Notamacropus eugenii: one gene and its partners. The protein of the gene in region 3 interacts with the protein of the main gene of each other region in a pairwise test. Links are inferred from orthologs where the notes say so. Each region holds a gene or a part of one and is shown on either strand. Other genes may lie near its edges.

The links.
Region 1: the proteins of RBM10 (region 3) and CPSF7 interact in binary tests that used the Homo sapiens proteins (3 or more experiments, as listed by UniProt). The two-hybrid records come from large-scale screens. The link is inferred for Notamacropus eugenii from reciprocal best matches to the Homo sapiens genes RBM10 and CPSF7.
Region 2: the proteins of RBM10 (region 3) and RBM12B interact in a two-hybrid assay, tested with the Homo sapiens proteins (3 studies listed by BioGRID). The link is inferred for Notamacropus eugenii from reciprocal best matches to the Homo sapiens genes RBM10 and RBM12B.

What each region holds. Positions count from the first base shown.
Region 1 is NC_092873.1:12,981,542-12,989,375, forward strand, and holds the start of CPSF7 (cleavage and polyadenylation specificity factor subunit 7), read right to left. Parts: upstream 3,005-7,834; 5' UTR 2,907-3,004; intron 2,777-2,906; exon of another isoform or gene 2,736-2,776; intron 2,425-2,735; 5' UTR 2,374-2,424; coding exon 2,320-2,373; intron 1-2,319. Other genes in the region: SDHAF2 (succinate dehydrogenase assembly factor 2, mitochondrial), read left to right, coding at 3,201-3,245, 7,451-7,674, 7,789-7,834.
Region 2 is NC_092875.1:159,460,420-159,467,993, reverse strand, and holds the start of RBM12B (RNA-binding protein 12B), read right to left. Parts: upstream 3,002-7,574; 5' UTR 2,831-3,001; exon of another isoform or gene 2,633-2,830; intron 2,424-2,632; exon of another isoform or gene 1,879-2,423; intron 1,612-1,878; exon of another isoform or gene 1,551-1,611; intron 1-1,550.
Region 3 is NC_092879.1:101,862,886-101,870,851, reverse strand, and holds the start of RBM10 (RNA-binding protein 10), read right to left. Parts: upstream 3,061-7,966; 5' UTR 2,814-3,060; intron 640-2,813; 5' UTR 527-639; coding exon 510-526; intron 1-509. Other genes in the region: UBA1 (ubiquitin-like modifier-activating enzyme 1), read left to right, coding at 5,235-5,480, 7,392-7,508, 7,610-7,668, 7,756-7,924. UniProt on the Homo sapiens protein: Binds to ssRNA containing the consensus sequence 5'-AGGUAA-3'. May be involved in post-transcriptional processing, most probably in mRNA splicing. Binds to RNA homopolymers, with a preference for poly(G) and poly(U) and little for poly(A).

The DNA of each region.
Region 1 (7,834 bases), on a different chromosome or scaffold from region 3:
ATGGAAATGTGTCATGGTTGGCTGGGGCCAAATTAGCTAATACCTTTGTTATTTAGTGCTACATTAAGTATCATATAGGTCAGACGTCACAAACCTTCAGAGCACTCCTAGTTGTAAAAACTTAAAACAAGAATTACTTAATGCTCTGTCTAACACAATAAAAAGGTGACCTCCCACATGCTTGTAGGTAGGAATATTTTAACATTAATCAACTGACAAAACCTTTATGAAGTACCTACTACGTACCAGACGCAATGGTTGAGGGGCAGGGAAATACCAATAAAAAAAACTCCACCACAATCTGCTCCCTTGGGGCTTACATTATTTCACCCAAAGCTCTCACTGGATTAACCCTTAGTCTGCTAAAATCAAGCAGTGCCCAGCACTTAATAAATGCTTGTGTCACCTCCCCCCCCCCAAATGGAAAGTAAAATGAACTCAGAGTTACTGGCATCTCTGAAGTCAGAGCATGAAGGTCCTTCCACATCCCAGGACTGAGCAGCAACCTCTATGATCCAGTGAATGCGGCACAGCTGCGGCTACCACAGGCAACCATATAGAAACGAGGCCCAAGGCCACCCCTGAGGCTGTGGCCCAGCAGCCAAGGAAAGCAGATCTGACAAGATGGTTTCATTCCTGATTTACTTAAGAGATTTCTATAGAACACCAGAGTGCAATACATGTGCGTGATGGAGCCACCGGTGCTGCCTCCCTGTTGGGGCCAAGCTTACGATGGTTTCTTGTTGTCAAAGAGCATAGCATCTACAACCAAACTGTCTTAGCAGGAGAAGAATCACAGGAACATATGGCTCAACAAAGCAGCCAATCGAGGCCACTGCACTGGTGACTCACCCCCAAAACACAAGCAATCAGAGCTCTTTCAGCACCTATACATGGAGCATTGGAGTTGACATGGACCCCAGATTTCCAAACAAAAAACAAAAAAATCTTGGAAAAGCTAGGATTCCAAAGTCCACCTGTGGTAAGGCAGATGCTGCCTGCTTTGCATGAGACAGTCACAGAATGTCAAGCTTTATGCCAAGAACCAGAGGGCATATGGGAAGGAGTTTCTATTTAGACATCGATGGGCTTCTTATGCTACCTCACGAACACCACACCTAACATGGGCCTACACTCAATCTACTCTGGTTGCTTTCAATCCAACCCTGTATCTAATGAGGCAAATACTTTATACTTCTTCTTCAGCAAGTCCAGATTACAAGAAAATCAGCCTTAAAAATGCCCATCCTCCTCCAAAATAGACAGCAGTCAAACAAATACGATCAACCCTCTTTCCACTGGACAACCTCTTCAACCCCTTCTGGCTCTCCATCAGCTCGTGCTCAGTGCCTCTGGCACCACATGGCAGGCAGCCGGGCTGCCCCACAGCCACCCTTGGTCTCTGGGAGAGCTAGAAAAGAGCCTTTCTAAGTTACATGCAACTTAGTGCAGAATCCAACAGAGAGAGGTGAGAAAACTAGTCCAGCACAAGACCACTTCTCTTCTGTGCTCTTCATTACACAGCTCAGAAAAACGTGCCAACACCTGACAGAGGAGGGACAAGACAGATGGGCTGCTCTGTGGGCACAGCGGAAAGTGCCCGATTTGGAGTCTTAAGACCTGGGTTCAAAGACCCACTCAACTGTTTTATACTTGGCTGGGACTGAGCAAGCTAAAACCTTTACTTCTTCACCTGTAAAATGAGGGAGTTGGAAGAGGCAGGTCCCAAGACCCATTCCAGCTCCAAATCTACAGCTCTGTGAGTGAGAAGGCACACGGCACCCACTTGACAGGAGAAGTGGAAGAATGTTTCCGGTGTGACTGATGCCCTTCTTCAGACAGTCTGACTCTGAAGGCTTTTAAAAGGTAAGCAAAGTAGCAGCGTCGGAAAATGGCCCATCCCGCGGGCCACTAGGACCTCAGCCCGGCCACCGATGTCTCGCAGGACGCCAGCGCAGCCTTCTGGGCCTCAGTTTACCCCTGGGTAACGCAGGGGCTGGCCAGGCTCCGAGCTTTGGACTAAAGGCCGTACTAAGTTAACAGCCCGGACCGCGGTGACCCCTGGCGGCATCCCCCTTACAGCTTCCTCCTCTGTAAAGCAAGGGCTAGACCGCACCTTCTAGAAATCCCTCCCTGCCCCTTCCCCACCTGCCCAGGTGACAGGCTCTCCGCAGCGCTCCGGCCGGACAACGCGGGGGGATCGCGGGCTCCATCCCGAAGATTCTTTCCGGGATAAAGCAGCCTCCCAACGCGGGCGGTCTCGGTTCCGCCCCCTCCTCCCCCAGCCCCGGCGAGCTCCCACCCTGGGTCGGGGGTCACCTGGTTGAACTCCTCGTCCGCGTATATATCGATCAGGTCCACTCCCTCCGACATGGCTCTGGGACCCCGGCGGCGCCGCGAGGAACAAGGGTGGCGGTGGTGCCGCTGCGCTCCGGGGAGAGGGACACGAGTCAGGCCGGGGCAGCGGCGGAGGGGGGGCCGGCCTGGCCTCTCCCCGCCCCGCTCCTCTCCACGCAGCCCGGCCTCCCTCCCGGCCTAGGCCCGCCCGCCGCCCGCTTTCTCCGAGGGGGGGCCTCTCCTCCACGCAGCCCGATTTCTGCGCGCCCTTCCCCCATCCCTCGGGGTCTAGGCCCGCCCGGCGCCCAGGCCCTCAGGCGGCCTCCCCGCCTGCTCCCCTGGCGCTCGCGGGCCTCCCCCCGCCCCCGCCCCCGCCCCGCGCGCCGCCCCGGACTGACCGGGCCCCAGCGCCGCCTCAGCGCGGGCTCCGTCCCAGCCTGGGCCTAGGCCCGGCCCCGCCGCCCGCCCTCCCAGCCCCGCCCGCCCCGCTACCCCTCGCGCCGCCGTCGCCGCCGCGCCCCCGCCTCCGCGCCCCGGCCCCGCCGCCCCCGGCCGCGCGCCCCCGTTACCGGGAATATGGCGGCGGCGAGTCCGGACTAGGCCCGAAGCGCGCGAACCTCTGCCCGGCCGCAGGCCCCGCCCCCTGCTCCCGCCGCCGCCGCCGCCGCCGCCGCCGTCCCCCTCCCTCCCCGCGCCACGCGCTGGCGTCACGCGCGCCGCCGCCACACGCACACACGCAGCACGCACGCGCGCCCAGAGCCGCCTCTCCCACCTCCCCTCCGAGGCCTCTCGGGCTCGTCGGGGCCTGCGGGAGGTCCCCGGATGTGGTGAGCAGACGGGCTTCCGGCCGGGCCTGAGCGGAAATGGCGGCGGCGGCGGCGGCGGCTGCAGCTGCTCCCGCAGTTCGGGTGAGAGCGGGCAGAGGCCGGGCGGGGGGAGGCCGCGGAGTCCCGGAGAGAAGGGCCGAGCGGCCCTGCCTGGAAGGAGGACCCGGGGAGCCGCAGGCCACCGGGCCGGGCCTCGGCTTCCCCCTGTGTAAAACGGAGACCCGCCCGCCCCGGGTTCGGTGTCGGCTCCGCAGGGTCCAGTCCAGCCCCGTCGCCTCGTCGGCCCTGTGGGGATCCCGCCGGCCCCTCCCTCCCAGGGTGGCTGCCAGGATCGAGGGAGCTTTGTGAAGCGCTTTGCCGCCCCCTTGGCCTCAGTTTACCGGTCTGTCACTTGGGTTAGGCGGCCCCGAGGGGCCCCTCCCCCTTCCCGTGGCCTCGGACCCCCCAGCGACAGAGAAAGACTCGACCGCCCCTCCCCCATCCCACGAAGCCGGGGTCTGGGAAAGGAGGGAGGGGCCGGATTGGGCCTGGAAGCCGAGGACACCCCCCTTTCCACCCCTAGGTCGGACCCCGGGCCGTCCCCAGGGTCACCCACGCCACCTTCCGTCTGTCCTGACGGGTGTGAGCCCCTGGAGGGCGGGGACTGTGCCCAGCATGCAGCTGGCGCCACATAAGTGCTTGCGGAGGAGCCCTGGTGGGGAGGAGGCAGGGCCGAGTGCGGCGGCGCCAGGCCCGGGTGGGAGCGGGGTGTGAGCACCGAGCTGGGTGCGGCGGGCCTTCCAGGGACGGAACGAGCTCCGGCTAGGGGGGCGAGTGCCTCAGACACCTCCTAGCCGGGGGGACCCCGGGCCCCCGCCTCCCCCCGCCTGCCTCAGGTTCCTCATCTATGGCAGACCCCTCCATCCCCTTGCCAGAAAACCCCAGAAGGGGCCGTGAGAGTCAGGTGACAGCGCAACATAGTATATACATTGTAACCAAATTCCTTCAAGCTCCAGCCCCACTGTGTGTGCCAGCGGCTCCATCCTCTGGTAACTTCCTCACCACCTCCTACTTTTTGTTTTAACCAATCTCTAGCAGTTTCCCTTAAACTCTCCCTGCCCCACAAAATGGTGGTCAGTCTGAAAGGCTCTTTTAAGATGCAGATGACCGTTGGATTGAAAGACAGCCCGGTAGTTTGCCTTTAACATGCAAATTGTGGAGCCCAGCAGAATGGAATTTCTGGGTGGCCAGCTTCCTTCCACGGTAGAACTGGGGACTTCAACGCAGAATTCTTTGATTCTACGGAGTCTGAGTAGAAAAGGGACGCTGGAAGGGGATGCCCTCCCCGGTGGTTGGGTTTTCACCAACAGCTACAAGAGCTGTCCAGGGGCTGCACCATAAACAGTGATTTGGTAAGGAAGGTACTAAGTACCTGGTGGCTTTCAACCAGAAACCGAAGGAGCTGCCCAAAGCTCAGACACCACCGTGTTTGGTTCCTCGTGTTCTTTCTAAAAGAAGTTGAATCTACAATTAGAGGGAATATTCTTTGGAAGGATGTACCCTAGAGATCAGAACCTAGAGAAAGGCTAAAAGGGAAGCCCTTGGATAGCTACTTCTTGCTTCATTCTTCAACCAAGACCATGAAATGACGTGAGGCTGCTTGTGAGAGCCCTCCCTAAGATACCATGCCTCGCTCTCCAGATTCTTTCATGTTGTGGTTGTCCATTTGGACACTGGACTAGAATGCACCAAGAGAAAGGGGACCCAAAGGCTGAAAGAAGAAATGCCCTCCCAAGGCTTCGAGCATTTGGATTGTGATGGCAAGGTGGACGCCAGTTGTACAGTCCCATACCAGATGGGGAGCTAGGTCCCTTTCTGTCATGTGCTCACACATGTGGGGCCAGGACCTCTTTCACATGGGACCTCATCTATCTGGAAGCTACATTTCTACTTTCCTCTCTGGCACATCACTTCACCTTTGGTACTCCGTTTGTGCGTCTTGGTAGCTCATAGGAGATTTAGCTGGAAGGGAATTTAGAAACCATTTTAACCCAATCTCCTCATTACACAGGTGAAGAGCTGAGGTCTCGAGGAGGTTTTTAGGTTTGTTTTTTATTTTTTATTTGAGCCTTTATTATTTCACCTTCTAAGCATAGTCAAATTCCCATGTCAGCCAAGTCCAGAAATGTCTCTTTCTGCAGATTTAGTCCCGCAGTCCTCTCAGGCTGTTGGCGTTTATTGTATAAATTCTGGTGGGTGGATATAAGACTAGGCCTGGAGTCAGGAAGACCTGAGTTCAAATGCAGCCTCATATAACTTAGCTGTGTGACCCTGGACAAGTCACTGTTTGCCTCAGTTTTCTCATCCATAAAATGGGGATAGTAATAGCACCTACCTCCCAGCTTATGTCTCCCAGGTTGTCATGAAGATCCAATCAGACAGTGTCTGTAAAGCCCTTAGCACAAGGCCTGGCTTATTGTTTAGTTGTTCAGCTGTGTCCAGCAACAATAGCCTAGCTCATAGTAGGTATACAAATGTAGCACGATAGTACTCCATTCCATTCATACACTATTCCCCAGCTGATGGCTACCCCCTAGCTCTTTGCAGCTACAGAAAGTGCTGTCATACATTTCTGTGGGCATAGGACGTTTTTTCTCTCTGATCTTTGGAGCACTGTCCCAGGACTGGTATTATTGAGTCAAAGGCTGTAATTCCAGCCTCCCCAACTATGCACTTTCATGCCTATTTTCTTACAGCCCCTCCAGCATTTGTCATTCCCCTTCTTTGTCAACTTTGTCAATTTGATGAGTCTGAGGTAGAACCTCAGTTGCTTTAATTTGCATGTCTAATTAGTAATTTTAGAGCAGTTTTCCATATAGCTACAGATAGCTTGGATTTTCTTGTTCCTATTCTTGGACCATCGATCAGCTGTGAAGTTAAATAACTTGCCCAAGAAAAATAAGCCTGCTCCTCCAACTCCAAATTCTTCCAAGGAGAGAGATAAAAAGAGTGGACGATAATAGGAATGGTGGGAGATCAGAATCTAGAGCAAGAACGAATTCTGAAAGACTCTCTACTAGTCCAGTGTCCTTTCATGCCTGTGGAAATTTCTATTCCAAATGTCAAATCCAGGTCCTCTGACTGTAAATCAAATTCTCTTCCATGAAACCGCCCTACTTCTCATCTGCCTGCAAACCAAGCCCTTCTCCAGACTCAGTTTCTGCTGAGAACACCAAAGCTTTCCACATTAAGTTTCCTTAGGTTCATAACCTTGGGGGCTTGACTTTTTTCAGCCTCTTTATTGGATTATTTCCCCAGTCCTGTCTACACAGGATTTCACATCTTTTCCCTCTCCTCCCTTCCCATGCATATTTTTCTTTCAGGCCCTTGTGGCTGCTACCCTGGACAATTTTTATCCCCTCCCAGGCGCTTTTTCTGTCTCCAGTCTCTCCTCCATTCATTCTCAGTCTTGCTCCATCCTCCATGAGTCGTCACCTTGTTGCTCCCCAGCTCTAAAACCTTAGCAGCTGATCCCCTCTTACCTCTAGGAGAAAATACAAATTCTCCCTGGCAGTGAAAACAGCCCTAACCGTTCTTTCCAGATTTATTTTTTTTAATCCTGTAAATTCTCTTCATTATGGACTTGACAAACAGTAATACTTCCATGTACAAAGAACCAAAAAAGGACCTTCCTAGCTTTCACATTGTTGCTTGACACACTCTATTCCAGTCAAACTGGACTGCCAGCTGTTCCGCCAGTGGCTCCCACTGCATTGCATTCATTCTCATCCACACATCCCCATCCCTGGAGGGCTTTCCCTCTTCATCCTTACCTTTCCAAGAGCCTTCTTCTTCCTGTAGTGTTCCACTCAGATGGCCCTTCTACCTCCCTCCCCCCGCCTGTTACTGTTCTCTTTCTGGAGATCCCTTTTGTTAGGTTTTTCTGTTTACTTGTCGCATTGATTACCAGTCAGTCCTGGTCAGGGACCAGTCTGCCTTTGTTTGCCTTTGTATCCTCAGCCCTTAGCTCTGTGCCTTGACTCTGGCAGCTGTATGTTTGTTGAGTTAAATTAGAGCATCTAAACACTACCTAGAGTAGTGGCTAGTTAGTCTGTCGGCCTCCAATTACTCCCCTTTCAGTCCATCCTACCCATGGTCAGCTGAGTCCCATTTAAGTTCAGCATTTTATGAATCTGCACATTCTTTTTAGTGTACAGTCTCTGGCAAACAGGCATTTAATAAATATTTATTGAATTGAATTTCATGCAGCTTGATTCAGTCTGGGTTGTTTGTGGTTCTTTTTTCAGCTTCTTGCCTTGTCCAGGCACACTCTTGTGTCTCCCTTTGTGGCTAGTTCACTGTTGAGACGATTCTACCGAGGGGACAGCCCATCAGACTCTCAAAAGGATATGCTTGAAATCCCCTTACCCCCATGGGAAGAGCGAACAGATGAACCCATTGAAACCAAGAGGGCTCGCCTGCTTTATGAGAGCAGAAAAAGAGGCATGCTGGAGAACTGCATCCTGCTCAGGTAGGGAAGGGGGTGCCTGGGGCTGTGGCGGAAGGACCTGCCCTCCATGGCTATGACTGCTCAGCCCTGTAGCCTCATGCAGCCTCCTGAACGCCTTTCTTTCTTCTCGTTTAGTCTCTTTGCCAAGGAGAATCTACAGCAAATGACGGAGAGGCAGCTG
Region 2 (7,574 bases), on a different chromosome or scaffold from region 3:
TTACAGGGAATATTCCTCACAATAATTTTGTAAGATAGGTTGTACAAGCAGTTTTATCTCCATCACAAAGAGAGATGCAGTTTACAGAAAAACTCAAGCAGGTTGAAGTGACTTTCCCATGGTCACACAAATAAGTGCCAGGGTCAGAACTGAAATCAAGCCTTCTATTCCAAGGCCAGTACCCTTTATACTACACCAAACTTACTGTCAATGAAGGGGGTTTAAAGGAAGGGCAGTATAAATTAGTCAAAAGTTCAAATTATGGAATGTTTTTAGAAAAGTGGTTTTACTACTTTGCAAGCCAAGCAAAACTAAAAGTATGTCCAATTAAATGTCTTCTGTAATTAACTTCATATTTTAAAAAACTGAAACTTGAAAACTGTTTGACTCACACCCTCACCCTTTAATATTTTCATGACAGAAATATTTAACTTAGTCTTTGTCTTGAATTAGGATGAATTTCAAATTAATGAAGTTTACTGTAACTATACTAGCCACCAAGAAAAAAACTGCCAGGAATATTCCTAATCTTTTCTTTTTATAAAGCAATATCTAGAGCACTCTGAAGTAGTTATAAACCTTCTACACAAGCATCTCTGGCATTGAGTCTATGCATAACTACAGAATTCTCTAGTGTGCACAATTTCCAAAAAACTTTTTTTATGTAATTAAAACAGATGAAAAACAGCATTAACTATAGAACACATGGTCTAGTGAGATTAAAATGTGCCTGTTATATAGTAAAATCAATTAATTTCTTGAGCATAAATTTATACTCCCTGAAGATATTAAAGAAAATTAAAGGCTAAAGGGATATGGTACTAGGGGCAAAAGTGTCAGGTTTAAAACAGTATCTAATGACACTGTTATTAAAAACACTGTCATTTTAACAAAGTAGTTCAATAAACACTTAATGATTCCACTTCAGAATTATATCAGATTTTTTTTGAAACATGATAGCAAGGTGGTATTCTAACGAAGCACCACAGCTACACCAAACATTCCAGTGTGTTTCATGAAAACATTCTGGTCTTAAGATACTGGGGATAGGGCAAGTTTTTAACACTACAGTAAAACCTGTTTGGCAGACTAGCCAAGCACATCCAAAGACAAACTTTGAAAAGTTTCAAAACCAAGTTGCATCTTTGTTTCCATGTTTATGTCTACCCTCATACAAAAAAAAAAAAGGTTAGACAAAATGACAGTCACACAAGACATATTCAATTGTACTCTGAAAACCAAGCAGAGAAATTTAAGTTTGCCTACTTCTTTAGAGTTACACACAGATTGGTCCACTACGACAAAACCTTCAGAGCTAATGAAATCTTGAAGTGGGGAGGCAGGTTACAAAAAAGTTCATTTAAAAAATGAACTGAACCGCAACAAAGACATCCGAGTTTATTACACAACCACTAAACGCAAAAAATGCATTCACCAGTCCCTCATACAAAATTAACAAATTAAAGCCTTCCTCCAATTTGAGCCCAAAACCACACAGGCAAAAACAACCAGCCTTCAATTCTGGCATCAGTGCGACTCTACATTCCTACCGAGAACACCAAGTTGGCTTCCAGACTTGACGACTACACCGTGATTTTCCTCCCGGGCTCTCGGATCAAACGTGATTGATCCCACAACTCTACGGGGCTCTCTTCCTTCGCCATTCTCAATTAGTTTCTAGGATCGGTGGACTGCCTATCTGGGTGTCTTGGGGAACGATTCCCCCAATTGAGCGCCAAAGCCACTGACTGCCCAGAGCCTTAGTCTCCGATAGACACAAGAAAGTAATGGAGACGATGGATTCCTCGGGGTGCACGGGGTTCCCCTCAACATCCTCCATCCTCCTCAAAGGGGGGGTCCTCCAGGGGCCTCCATTACCACGAGTTCTAGAGCCAAATGCCGTTAGAGTCCGTCCACATTCCCAAGAGAGTCAAGCGGCTCCTTCGTTCCCGCCAGGCCAAGGTCGCCAGATGGGATCCGACGCCGTCCCCCAGGCCCAGGACTAGCCCCCGGGGCCAATCAAGCCTGACCTCGCAGGCGCCTCCGTCCGTCTCCCCGGCCGGCCCGAGGGCACTCAGTCACTCACTCCCCCCGGGGAGGCTAGCACCCCTACCCCGCGGCTCGGCCAAGGTCGCCCTGCTACCTCCATCCTACCTAACTCCGGGGAGCCGAGGGGAGGCGCGCGGCCGCCGCCTCCTCCCTCCCCGAAATCGAGGCGGGCCTGGGCCTCCCCGACCGTCACTACGCCGGCGGGCCGGAGCCACGGCCCCCGAAAGCAGAGCAGCGTGTTAACACGGAGAGGGTGCGGGGAAGGGGAAAAATGGAGAGAGAGGGCCACGGGCAGCGGCTGCCCGCGATCGGGAGGACCGCGCCGCGGGAGCCGCGGCAGCCGCGGCACAGCGCTCAGGTCGGGGGCGCGGCCCGCAGCAGTGGCGGCGGTTACTTCTCTGCGCGGCCGCTGCCGTTTCCGCCGCTTCCTCCTCCGGCGCGGGCGGGCCCCGCCTCGGCCTCGGCCTCGGCCTCGGCCCGCTTCCTCCCCCCCATCCCCCTACCCCACCACTGGCCCGGACCCCTCCCACCATTCCTGGAGCCTGCAGCGTAGTTCTTTCACAACCCGGTTATAAACACACACCGCGGCTCCCGAGTCTCAAGGCCCCAGCCGAGCCTGGGAGGTCTCCTTCGGCACCACAACCGCTTCCCGAGGTAAAAAAAAAAAAAAAAAAATTAAAAAGGGGGGAGGGGGGGTCAAAAAAAAACCTCCAACTCAGAGCAAGCCTACAACAAAATGGCTGCCACTCCTACCCCCTCCCCCCGGGGTCTCTAGACAAACCGAATTGCAGTTGGCCCGCTCATGCGCCTTCCACTCTCGGAGCTCGCGCTCTCCCCTTCCTCCCGCCCCTCTCCGCCAGGCAATCTGGAGCGCGTGCGCATTCGGTCGCCCGACTCGATAAAGTCTTTTTTCCTCGAGGAAATCTGCCCCTTCCTCTACTTTAGGACTCCTGCGCATGCGCCCTGTCTGTGCCTCTGCATTTTGTTCTCCCAGAAATTTAATGTGAGCAGAAGGAGCGAAAGCGTAGAAGTCAGTTAATCCGTAAACACCTATAAAGCGCCTACCACGTGCTAGGCTCTGTCCTAAGCGCTGGGGACACAAAGAAAGGCAAAAGGCAGTGCCTTCCATGTACTTACAATCTAACGGGGAAAGGCAGCACATGAAAACCACCTAGTAGGTGGGATGGGGGCGGAGGCAAGAGAGGGAAGGAGTCAGAGGAGAGGAATAGTGAAGACCAGGACAGCATCAGCATGGCAACTCACACCTCCCCGGCACCCTCGGCCACTTACGCCTTCCTCCCTTTCCCACTGGGGGCTCCACCGGCCGGCTTCATTGTCTCCGGCCACGTAATTCTGCCAGACTATTCACCCCGGTAATACACACCTCCTCCGCACCACTGCCCCTTAGCCCTCCGGCCCTTTGGTTGGAAGGAGTCAAGGTCAGACATTAAAGGGCTCTCCCAAGATCCTCTGTTTAAGGGGGTTGGGGGAGTCTAGCAGACCCTTCATTTTTCACCTGGCTGCTGCTGCACTTTCTCATTGTCTCCAGAAACTGATCATTTTGCAAGAGGAATTCAACTCTGTAACTCTAACTCACACCTCCTCGCTCGTATCCCTGCCCCCGAGGTTCTCCCTCCCTCCGATTGCTGAGTGTGGAGGTTAGACGATGAACATCCTTCTAGATCACACACTTTTTACAGAGAGCACCCAGGGAATCCACCTCATCCCTTACGGATCTCCAGGATATCAACAGAAACTGACCATTCTGCAAAGATAAATTCAACTTTGTAACACACCTCCTTAGATCACTTCCCACTTCCAACTACAAAACTTCATCATGCCCATACCTAAGAGCTAGGTACTCATCCTACCTACTGCGACTCCCCTTTTCAGCTTTTCTTTTATGTGTTGTCTTCCTCCACTATAATGTGAGCTCCTTCAGGTCTTTCTTTGTATCCCCAGAGTTTAACACAATGCCTGACTCATAGTAGGCACTTAATGTTTACTGACTTTCAGCCCCAGAGAAAATGATAAGGTATCTTCCTGAGTCCCGCCCCCCCCCCCCCCCTTTGAAAAAGGATCTGGGAGGAGCTCTTCAATGTGCACCCAGTAAAAAAAAAAAACATTGCATTAATTCACTCATTCAACAAATATTTATTAAAATACAACTCTCTACATTACAACTGTATGTATTATATATTACATTCAGGGATACAAAAGTGAATAAGCAAAGGTGAGACATGCTGCCAGACCTCCTTAAATGCATTTGGGCTGTTATGTTTCTGGTTACTCCTTCAAGTGCTACAAATCAAACCAGTGAACAGAGTTGTATCCAATGTGTATCTAATCTCCGACTTCCCTTAAATCCTCTAAAAGGGACCAGTGAGAGAGAGACCCTCTAGGAACTAAAATCTGCCTTTAGACATTCCTTATCTCTCTTCACTATGTACATGCCAAGTTCCCCTTTTCTGAGATCTTGTATGGCATTTTTGCTTTGGGAACCTTGATCCAATTAGTACTTCTACAACACCATTATTCCTGGAAAGTTTTGTTATCCTTGTGAATTCCCCGAACACTCCTGTTCCTTAGCCACCCAGTCTTAATAAGGATCCTTTCCTGGCTCCTAATCCAGACCTCATCCTCTAACCACTCCACCTTCTATATTAAGTCACTTGGTGATCTCATTAACGCCCTTGAATTTAATTAGCATCTCTATGCAAATTAATTCTCAAATCTACCTATCCTGCCCCAGCCTCTCTGATGACCTCCAATCTTGTATGTCCTTGTAACTGCCTTTCAGACAGCTCAAACTGTATGTCCAGTAGATATCTTAAACTCAACATTATCTTTCCCTCTGAGTTGTATGGGATGTTAAAGGAGGGCTAGCACCTCTGGTGTGAGGACTTGCTTTTCGGGACTGCTCATGCACTTTTGATATCTGCCCGATTCACCTAACTCTTGCCTGTGGCTCCAAGAATCTATAGCAAGAGCAGCAGTCATACTCTGGTTAAAACCCTCTCAGCAGAAGGGCTAAACCAGGTTGAGGGTAACCAACAGGCCTCAAACCCATCAGTAGGTTAGGGGGATATCTGTCCTAAGTATGTGAAAACATTCCCTGTCAGAATGATCAGGTGACAACAATTTGTACCACCCATCAGGATGTGGAGCACTTAGAGCTTGGTTAGACATCAAAGATGCCAAGGTCATTCACTTCATCCTGGCCATTGTCAGTCATCTTGACTTTTGTCCTACCACTGGACTTAGAGGAGTTGGGAAGAGATAGTGAGGCTGGCAACTTTGTGCAGTTCAGCCTCACTTAAATCCAATTCGCCCAAGAAAATGAGGAATAATAACAATCTTTCCTCCTAAATCCTCCCCCCTGTCCTACCTTCCCCACTTCTGTCCCTCAGGCTCAGAACCTCACTATGTCACATGCCCCCATATCCAATCTGTTGCCAAGACCTATCAATTTCACCTTTGCAACATTTCTCAAATCCTCTCTCTTCTCTCCTCTAACCCTGCCACCAATGTGGTACAGACTCTTATCATCAAATGCCTAGATTACTTCAAAAGCTCAGGTCTGACCATCTTATCCCCCTACACAACAATTGCAGTGACTTCCAGTGGCCTCCAGGATGATACAAAAAATGCTCTATTTGGCATTCAAAGCCCTTCATAACTTTCTTCTTACATATTACTCTATGTAATGTACTCTATTACATATATCTACAATGTACTCCAATCCTGTGATATTGACTTCTTTGCTATTCCATAAAATAAAATACTCCATCTCTCTCCACTTCAGGCATTTTTCTGGCTGTCCTCCTGACCTGGAATTCTGTCTCTCCTCAATTTCACTTACTGATTTCCCTGGCTTCCTTTAAGGCCCAACTAAAATCCTACTATTTACAAAAAGCCTTCCTCAAACCCTAATAATTCAAGTAACTTCTCTTCCTTAATTATAAATCCTGTATATAGCTTGTTTTGCATTTATCTGAGTAACCCAGTGGACAGACTGCTGGGCCTGGAGCCAGAAAGATTCATCTTCCTCAGTTCAAATCTGACCTCGGACATTTACCAGGGTGACCCTGTTTGCCTCCATTCCACTTTCAATAATTAGCTGGAGAAAAAAATGGCAAACTCTCCAATATCTTTGCCAAGAAAACCAAAAATGAGGCCACAAAGAGTCAGACACTACTGAAACAACTGAACAACAACTTGTTTTGTGTATATTTGTTTATATATTGTCTCTCCCATTAGATTATAAACTCATTGCCTTCCTTTATATCTCCAGCTCTTAGCACAGTTGCAGGCACATAATAGGTACTCAGTGAATATTGATTGATTTATTTTATATGCCATTGTCTTCCTTTACTAGAATATAAATTCCTTAAGGGTAGGGAAGTCACACTATAATTTTTAGATTTCTAAGTGCTTAATAGAATGCTTGGCACTTAAGTATGTTAAGTACTTAGATGTTTCTTTTTCATCCATTCATTCATTCAATGAATAATAAAACCTATTTGCACCTTCTCTTGCTTTTAGGTCACCTGAAATTTTGATTCTCTGGAGATTAGAATTCCATAATTCCTCAGCCATATAGAATCACTTAGAAAAATATTGGTGCTTTAAAAAAAGATAGGTTTAAAATCAAGGGAATTTTAAGTGTGAAGGAAGGTGGTCTAGTCTTAGGAGATCTCAAACTGTATTATAAAGTAGTAATCATCAAAACAGGTGTAGCTGCGTGGCATAGTAGATAGAATGCTGGGCTTGGAATAAGGAAGACTCATCTTCATGAGTCCAAATCTGACCTCAGACACATTAGCTGAGTGGCCCTGGGCAAGTCACTTAACCATTCTGGCCTCAATTTCTCATTTGTAAAAGGAGCTGGAGAAGGAAATGACAAACCATGCCCATATGTTTGCCAAGAAAACCCCAAAATGGAGTCAGACATGACTGAAACAACTGAACAAGAAGTCATCAAAACAAATTGGGACTGGCTAAGAAATAGAGTGGTGGGTCAATACAATAGGTTAAGTACACAATAGTAAATGTCCTTAGAAATCTAGTGTTTGATAAATCCAACGGTCTATGTTTTCAGGACAAGAACTCACTATTTGACAAAAACTGCTGGAAAAACTGGAAAACAGTATGGCAAAAACTAGTATAAACCAGCATCTCATACCACATACCAAGATAAGGTCAAAATGGGTGCAGGATTTAGACATAGAAGATGAGACCATAAGCAAATTAGGAAACCATGGAATAGTTTACTTGTCAGATTTATGAACAAGGGAAGAATTTAGGACCAAACAAGAGATAGAATTAAAAAATGTCAAGTGGACAATTTTAATTATATTAAATTAAAAAGGTTTTGCACAAACAAAATTGATGCAACCAAAGTTAGAAGGAAAGCAGAAAGCTCAGGGAAATTTCACAGCAAGTATCTCTGATTAAGGACTCATTTCTCAAATATAGAGAACTAAGTCAAATTTGTGAGAACATAAGTAATTCCCCAATTGATA
Region 3 (7,966 bases):
GAGTGGGGCTCATCAAAACCTCTCTGCTCCTGTTGTTACTTTACTAAAGAGAGCCATCACATGCCCATGTAGCCAAAGGCAGCTGGGGACAGGCAGAGGAGCTGACACACAGCACTGCTGCCTCCTGCTCTGCCCTCTCTCTCTCAAGGCCCAGTCAAGCTCCTCGGAGCCCTGTCATCTGTGTTGGAGCATCCTGGGGGAATGATGGCACTGGCCCAAGGTGGCTTGTCTGGGTACAAAGAGCTTTCTAGAAAAGATAGCTACTGCCCAGTGCCAAGAAGTCTCAGGAATGGGGGGTAGCCAGGATCAGACCTTACTATCTCACATGGTCTCTGAATCTCTTTCCAAGAAAAATATTATGATCCCAGATCATTCAGTTTTGGAACCCTACCCCTCTCCAGCCAAAACCCAAAGTCAACCTTGGGAAAAATCAAGGGGAAAAGATGCCCCTTGTTTTTGCCAGGGCCCAAAGGATTCTCACTTTGGGACAGCCCTCTCCCCAGTCTCACCGTCTTTCATACTCCATGTCTGGGGGTGGCCTGCTCCTGGGCCGATGGCTCCGCCTCACTTCCCAGCTGCCACCAGCCCTGCTGTTGCCACCATGCTCCGCCAGCCTGCACAAGAACTCCCGTGAGGGATCTGAGGGACAGAAAAGAAAAAGGAGAGGTCAGGGGCAGCCTGAGCCCATCCAGGCAGGGCGGGCTACCTAACCCTTGGTACAGGGGAAGAAAACGAGAACTAGCAGCAGTCAATCTGGATTGTCTCCAGAATGGGAAAGTGGGAAGGAGGAGGGGGAGGGGGAGGGAGAGAGCGAGAGAGAGCGAGCGAGAGAGAGAGAAAGAGGGAGAGAGAGAGAAAGAGGGAGGGAGAGAGAGAGAGAGAGAGAGAGAGGGAGGGACAGGGAGAGAGAGAGGGAGGAGGCAGTGATAGAAATGAAGAGACAAAGAGATGGAGAGGGAGAGGCAGAAAGAAAAGAGAAAGGAGGGAGAGAGATAAAGGAGGGAGAGAGAGATGGAGAGACAAAGAGATGGAGAAAGACAGAGAGGGAAAGACAGAGAAAGAGAAAGGAGGGAGGGAGATAGAAAGGAGAGAGAGAGAAGGGAAAGGGAGGGAGGGAAATGGAGAGGGAGGGAAATGGAGAGAGAGGGAGAGAGAGAGGGAGGGAGAGAGGGAGGGAGAGAGGGGGAGAGAGAGAGGAAGAGAGGGGGAGGGAGGGGGAGAGAGGGAGGGAGGGAGGGAGGGAGGGAAGGCGGGAGGGAGGGAGGGAGGGAGAGAGAGAGAGAGAGAGAGAGAGAGAGAGAGAGAGAGAGAGTGAGAGAGAGAGAGAGAGATATGAGGAGTCAGAGCCAGAGCTGCCACTGTATCTTGGCTGAGAACATCCAAGCATCTTTGCATCTTGGTTTGCTCTTGTATAAAACGATGATTAGAACTAGTTGCACTCCATACCTCAGGGGGCTGCTGGGGAGGATGTGTGGGTCCATGTGAATGAATTGTAAAAGGCCTGAGAAATATTGGATATGACTTTCAGGGCCCCCCAGCTGCCAAGAACAGCCAGAGTCCAAGGTCAAGGCCACCATGCTGCCTCCCTGGCTTCAGCCTTGGCCCCCAAGTCTTTTCTGCTTTTCCTTGATCTGGATGCTTTGCCCCTTTGTACTCTGGAGTGAGGGCCAGGATCACTGCTGCCTCTGGTGGGGGAGGAAGGTTCCTGTGCACCCCTCCCCTGTGTGTCCTTCAAAACATATTTAACTCCGGCACCTGTCCCCTCTGGAACAACAGGGGTTTTTAACTCCGGGCTCCATGGCCAGACTGGGGGGTGGGGGGGGACCCTCCCTTGTTATTTTCAGTTATTACTATTCTGTAAAGCCAGAATTCTGAGAAGGCTGCCCTAGAACCTGGGGCCACATGGGACTGGGAACTCTATGAGGACAAGACCGAGGCCTGGCCCATCGTGCTGCCAGGTGTGGCCCAAAGGGGCGAGCAAAGGCCACCTGGCCTTGGGAGGTGCCTTCCTTTCTGCCCTCAATCCCCTCTCCCGCCCCCTAGGCAGGTCCTGAATGGCCCTCACCCCTCAGGCCTCCAGAGCTCAGCTGGTAAGTTTACACAGCACTTTCCTTCCAGCTCCACTTGTCGGAAAACACAGAGGCTCAGCTGCCCTGACTGCAGGGGCCCAGAGACGGGGCTGAAGGCCTTGCTGCCTCGTCTTCTCCTACGCCCAGCAGGTGAGGCTAATAAAGGGGCTTCTCAAAAGCCGCCAGGCAAGGGGTAGGAAGCAGCTACGGGCACCCAGGGCCAGAGCAGCCCACTCTGGGGCACCCCCGATCAGCCTGACCTCTGCCCTGGCCGGCCCCCCAAGGTACAGCGCTGCCCTAGCCGGGCTTAGGGGAAAGGGCCCCGCGGGGGCAGGGTCTGGCACATGGCAGGGCCAGCGGGCCAGAGGAGCGGCCATGCCAGCTGCCCTCCCCGATCTGGACCCGCTCCAGCCGCCTGCTCCTGTCATTCATCCATCTGATCCTCCCCAGACCGGCCGCAGCCTCTGGGGAGGGAGGAGGGGGCTGGGGGAAGGGGAGGGGGGAGCAGGAGGGAAAAGACGGCGGGGGGAGGGGAGGGGGAGAGGAGCGCGGCGCCACCGCCGGGAGCGCGCACGCTCGCTCAGGTTCGCGCCCGCTCGGCGACTCGGCCTCTATTCCGCACCCCCCCTTCACCCCCCCACTCCCACCCCCGGGGGGCCTCCGGCGCCGTGGCCGCCGCCGGGTCGGGGCCCCCGACCCCTCCCCCGTCCCCGGCCCAGCCCGAGCCCCGCCGGGCCCGCTCACCTGCCGGGTCCGGACCGTGAGGCGAGGGCTCGGGCACATCACCCGGCCTCCGCCGCCGCTGCTACCGCCTCCCTCGCGGGCACGCGCGCGCGCGCCCGCCGTCAGTGGGGCCGGGCCCGGGCCCGCAGGAAAGCGCGGCTACGACTCCGGCGAAGCTGCCGCCGCCCCCGCCGCCGCCGCCCTCCTTCTCCTTCTCCTTCTCCCCTTTCTCCGCCCCAGGGCAACCCACTGCTGCCTCCCCCTGGCTGGCCCCAAACTACCAAGCGAAGATGGCGGCGGCGGCAGCTCCGCCCATCCCTCGCCCCGCCCCTCCCTTTCCCGGCCCAGCAGCCCAGGCGCGAGCCGGCCCGGGCCGGCCCGGGCCCCGGCGCGCTCCGTTGGGCTGCTGCGCCCCCTCCCGAGCATTCTCCGCGCTGAGTCGCCGAGTCCCGCCCCTTGCTTCCACAGAGGGCGTGGCGATTGGCCGAACCTGCACCACGTCCATGGGGGAAGGAGGTGGAGTCCCGCCTCACGTGATTCCAGCGGGGGTGGGGGGAAGGCAGAGGGGGACTAGACTGTCGAGTGGGTTCCGCCCCTTTGCCCATTAGGGAGGAACCGTGCTCCAACTAGACCTTTTTGGCGCCACTGGAGAAAGCGACAATGGTCGTGCTGCGCTGCTGCACTTCCGTTTAAACTCCTTAGCTTGGCTTGACCCCCTGCCTTCTACGTTCTCTATGCCTAGTCGTTCTTTTCAGGAACTTTGGTAGAGACTATGCCTTGTCTCTCTTGGCTCTCCACTGTTTTCAGTTCAGGTCAACAGCCACTTATGGAGTGCCTACTATGTGACAGGCACTGTGTCCCAGGCACAGGGAAAAGGAGTCCATAGCCTAATAGTACACTTACTGGAGATGAGCTCCTCCGGATTGTAAAGCATATTGGTCCTCAGACCGTTGGCTCGATCTTTTCAGAGCACCTTACTGAAAAGCCAGGCCTTCCATGGTGCAAGAACCCACACCGTGAAGTATCTCTACCCTCCAAATGATTAATAAGGAAAACTTTTGAGGAAAGCTCTTAGAAAAACGATCATTGGAGAGATTCTTTTATGGAGCATACATGGCGGGAGTCCGAGGAAGATGAATTGGAGTAGGAATGAGTCAAAGAACCATGGGTTCAAATCATAGCCTCTAACACTGCTGGTATGATCTTGGAGACGACCCAGGACCTTGGGTCCTTTAGGCCAAGGTCTTTGCAGGTATTCACTTAGGGTGAACTAATGCCCATTCATTGAATAGGACTGTTTAAGCAGTAGCCAGGGCATGGCCCCTTTAATGAATCCAGTGACCAGACATTCCTCAGGATGACTGAAGATGACCCAGGATTCCAATGGTTCTGGAGGAGATGTGAGGCTGGTGACCTGCACAGCCCTCTCTCATTCAAAACAAAGTCAAGGGCAAGTCACGTCATCGTTTCTCTGGTGGCATGGTCTTCTTCAGCAACGAAGGAACACAATGACCTTGGTCAAGTAAATTACCTTTTTGGCATCTGTGCCTTTCCCCAACTGTTAAAATGGTGGAGTTTGATACAATGACTTTAAACTTCCCTTCCATTTCTAAATCTATGATTTCTCATCTGGCAGGTAGCTGGCACAGTGGGTAGAATGCTGGAGTTGGAATCAGGAAAACCTGAGTTCAAATTCTACCTCAGACAGACAATACCGTGTCACCCACAGATCTCTTAAGCTCCCATCTCTAAAATGGAGAGGATCGAACTGGATGGTGTCCAAAGTCTTACTCTACCTGCTCTCTCAGACAAACCCTACCTTTGTCATCTGTACTCAGTACAGAACCCCGGAAATATCTCAAACGCATAATGCAGAGAAGTTTGGGGTTTAGATCTGTCTCTTCCCCTCTCCCCCCCTCCCTTCAGGTTTTCAGTCTCTAGTTGCCCTGTGTCTGGATCTTTGCTCTCATTTTAGTCTCTGTACCGGTGTCTGTTCATCCATTTTCTGTTTTAGACTCTAGGTTTGCCCCACTTTAGCTTTAACTCTAGGTACCTTCCCCCCACTTCTGTCAATGTCTCTGGAACCTGAATTTTAACTCAGTCAGTCTCCACGAATGATTTTCAAAATTGGTCCCGCCCTATTTCCCAGCCTTCCCTAATGCTCGCGCCCTTGTAGGAAGTTGTCTCCGCCACAGATGTCTAAACCTCTTCCCCACCCTGGCCCAGTTTAGGATAGTGTTCACCACGTGCTCCAGTCAAGCGCCAGCGCGGGCTGAACTACAATTCCCAGCAGGCTCCGCAACGGCGACCAGCCTGGATCGTACCACGTGTGCTCCACCAGGGGATTCTTTCAGTAACTTTGGGGCCGGTTTTTTTCTGGAATGGGCGAAAAAGAGTCAGAATCTGATGTGAACTAGGACGCTGACAGGACATGAGGTGAAAATGGGGTGCACTCGAATGTCAGAGCAGGGGATAGGCCGCGAGAGTCGCATTTGGGGTGAGCCTTCCCCCTTGACGCAAATAGTACCTTCCGCTCCGGGCCCGGGGACCCCAAGTTCCGCGCTCAGCCCATCGCTACGCAAGCCGGGGCTCCTCGGCAGCAGCAAAGTTAGCTCTGGCTACCGCTCCAGCACCGCCTCCAGCTCTAGGGGAAGGCTAGGCCTCGGCGGCTCCGGGCCTGAGGAGGGGGTGAGTTGAGAGACTTGGCGTTGGCGTAGAGGGGACCCAGGGAGAGCTTTTATGAAACGGCACGAGTTGGGGGGGTAGTGATGAGAGTTTCGTCCTTGTGTGGCTGCCCGGGCGTAGGAGGCGGGGTCTTTTTTGACCATTATTCATTAGGGGCGGGGCCTCTGCCCCCATTTGGACTTCTTGGAGGGGCGGGGCAATCTGGGCCGGGTCTTAATGTAGGAGGTGCGTTTGTTCTCTTCCCCCCTCCCCCCACCGGGTATTGCGTGCGTTTTTAGCTGACTAGGAGGAGGGATGCCGGCGTTCGCCGAGCTGGGCGGACGGGCCGCAGGCTGGCGCGTGCGCGAACCTGCGCCTGGTCCGCGGGGGGAGGGGTAGGCTTTGGCCCGTTTCGGGGCGCGCAGGCGCGAGGCGTCGTTGCTAGAGGATTTGAGCGAGGCCTGGCGCGGTACCTGGCAGTGTCACTCAGAGATAGGAGGGCGGGAGCAGTTTGGGGGTGAGGACGGGGGCGCACGTTTATTGGCTCGGGCGCTGGGGCGAAGAGATCGGGGGAAAGACTTGCTTGTGCCCTCCCCAAGCCGCCGGAACCCTGCTCTCGGTGAATGTGCCAGCTTTGTAGCCTGCGGCGGGGGCGAGGAATTGGGACGGGGGCGGGGCTTGCCGGCCGGCGGAGGGGCGGGCCTCGGACTGGGCGGTGCCTGCGTCAGGGGGCGGAGCCACCCGCGGGTTTTGTTCCGGCTCTGCGGCGGCGGCCGCCATCTTGTGTCTGGGACCGAAGCAGCCCGTGGAGGGGCTGAGACTCCAGGCGCCGGGGCTGGCCTTGGGTGGCGGCGGGGGGAGTTCCCTGAGCACCGGACGGCGACGGCGACTGCGGTGATCGGGCCCCGGGGAACAGGCCTTGGTAACCGGCCTGCCTTCTCGGCTGCCGGCCTCCCTCCCCTCTACCGCGATCTCTTCTCCTTCCCCCCACCCCCATCCCCGCAGTCTACTTCCTCCCCTCCCCCCCCCCCACTGTCTGCCGCTTCTCCCGTTCCCCCCAGACTGCCGGGATCTCTCCCCCCCAGCTGGGATTTGCCTCCCTTCACCAGCCCCCCTCCCGCTGCGATTTCTCCACCCCCCCCCCGGGGGCGGGGCCACTGTATCGTCGGGCCCCACCCGGGATTCTGCCGGAGGGGTGGGGCCGCCGGAGGTGCTGGGGGGAGGGGGCATCAATCCTGCCTCTTCACTCTCTCCACGCCGGGGCCTTGGGTGGATGGGTGGGCGGGTGGGTGGCGGGCCTACCGGCAGCCACTCCAGATAAGACCAAGGAGCACCCTGGACAGCGCCTTCCTTTCATTCCCCTTTCCTCCTTCCATCTTTCTTGGCATTCTGTTGGTTTGGAAGCCTCTTTGGCCTTTCTGCCCCCCACATTCACCCGAGGGAGTGGGAGAAGAACCCTAAAGGAAGGACAACAGCCTTGGCCAATCAGGACAATGGTGCTTCCTCTTTCCCCCCTCCTACTCTGTGTCACCGCTCTGCTTGGCAGATGGCTTACTTTCCCCACAAACGTGATGGGCCCCCTGGACTTACCCACTGACCCCATCTGTTCCTGTGTCTCTCTAACCCTGCCCAAAAGAAGATGTCCTGATCCTCCTGCCTGCCTGCCCAGGACGCCTCTCTGCTCTCATATTTCTCTCCTTTCCACCCCCAGTAGGACCAGCTCATTGACTTCCCTAACGCTCTGGAACTCTCTGGCACTGTTTCTTTTCCTCAGACTTCCTCTTTCACCCATTCCTGGGAATAGTTCTCTTCTTCCCAGGTGGCCTGTTCTCAGCCCCTCTCCCTCATGTCAGGTTCATTGCTGTACTTCGCACCCTGATCTCTCCTCCCTCTCTTTGGGCCAGTTCTGACAGCTTTCTTTTCTATCTCTCCTAGATGTCCAGCTCGCCGCTGTCCAAGAAGCGTCGCGTGTCCGGGCCTGATCCAAAACCAGGTTCTAACTGCTCTCCTGCCCACCCCGTTCCCTCTGAAGTGCCCACTGCACCTGCCAACGTGAGTGTTCAGCACTGAGTTTCAGTAGTGTAGTGGATCCCAGGGCTTGGGTCAGCCTCTCCTCACCCTGTGCATTTCTTTGTCGCTTTCTTTGTCCACAGGGAATGGCTAAGAACGGGAGCGAGGCAGACATCGACGAGGGCCTATACTCCAGGCAGCTGTGAGGCCGGAACTGTTGGGGGCTGGGAAGGGGAGAAGCTGTCAGACAGGGACTGGGCTCTAGACCTTGCTCTCATCTCCTTCTCAGGTATGTACTGGGCCACGATGCTATGAAGCGACTTCAGACTTCCAGTGTCCTGGTGTCTGGGCTCCGGGGCCTGGGAGTTGAGATTGCTAAGAACATCATTCTTGGTGGAGTCAAAGCTGTCACCCTACATGATCAGGGTGCTGCCCAGTGGGCTGATCTCTCCTCCCAGGTAACCTCAATCCATCTCTATGGTTTCTTTCCTCCTCTTCCC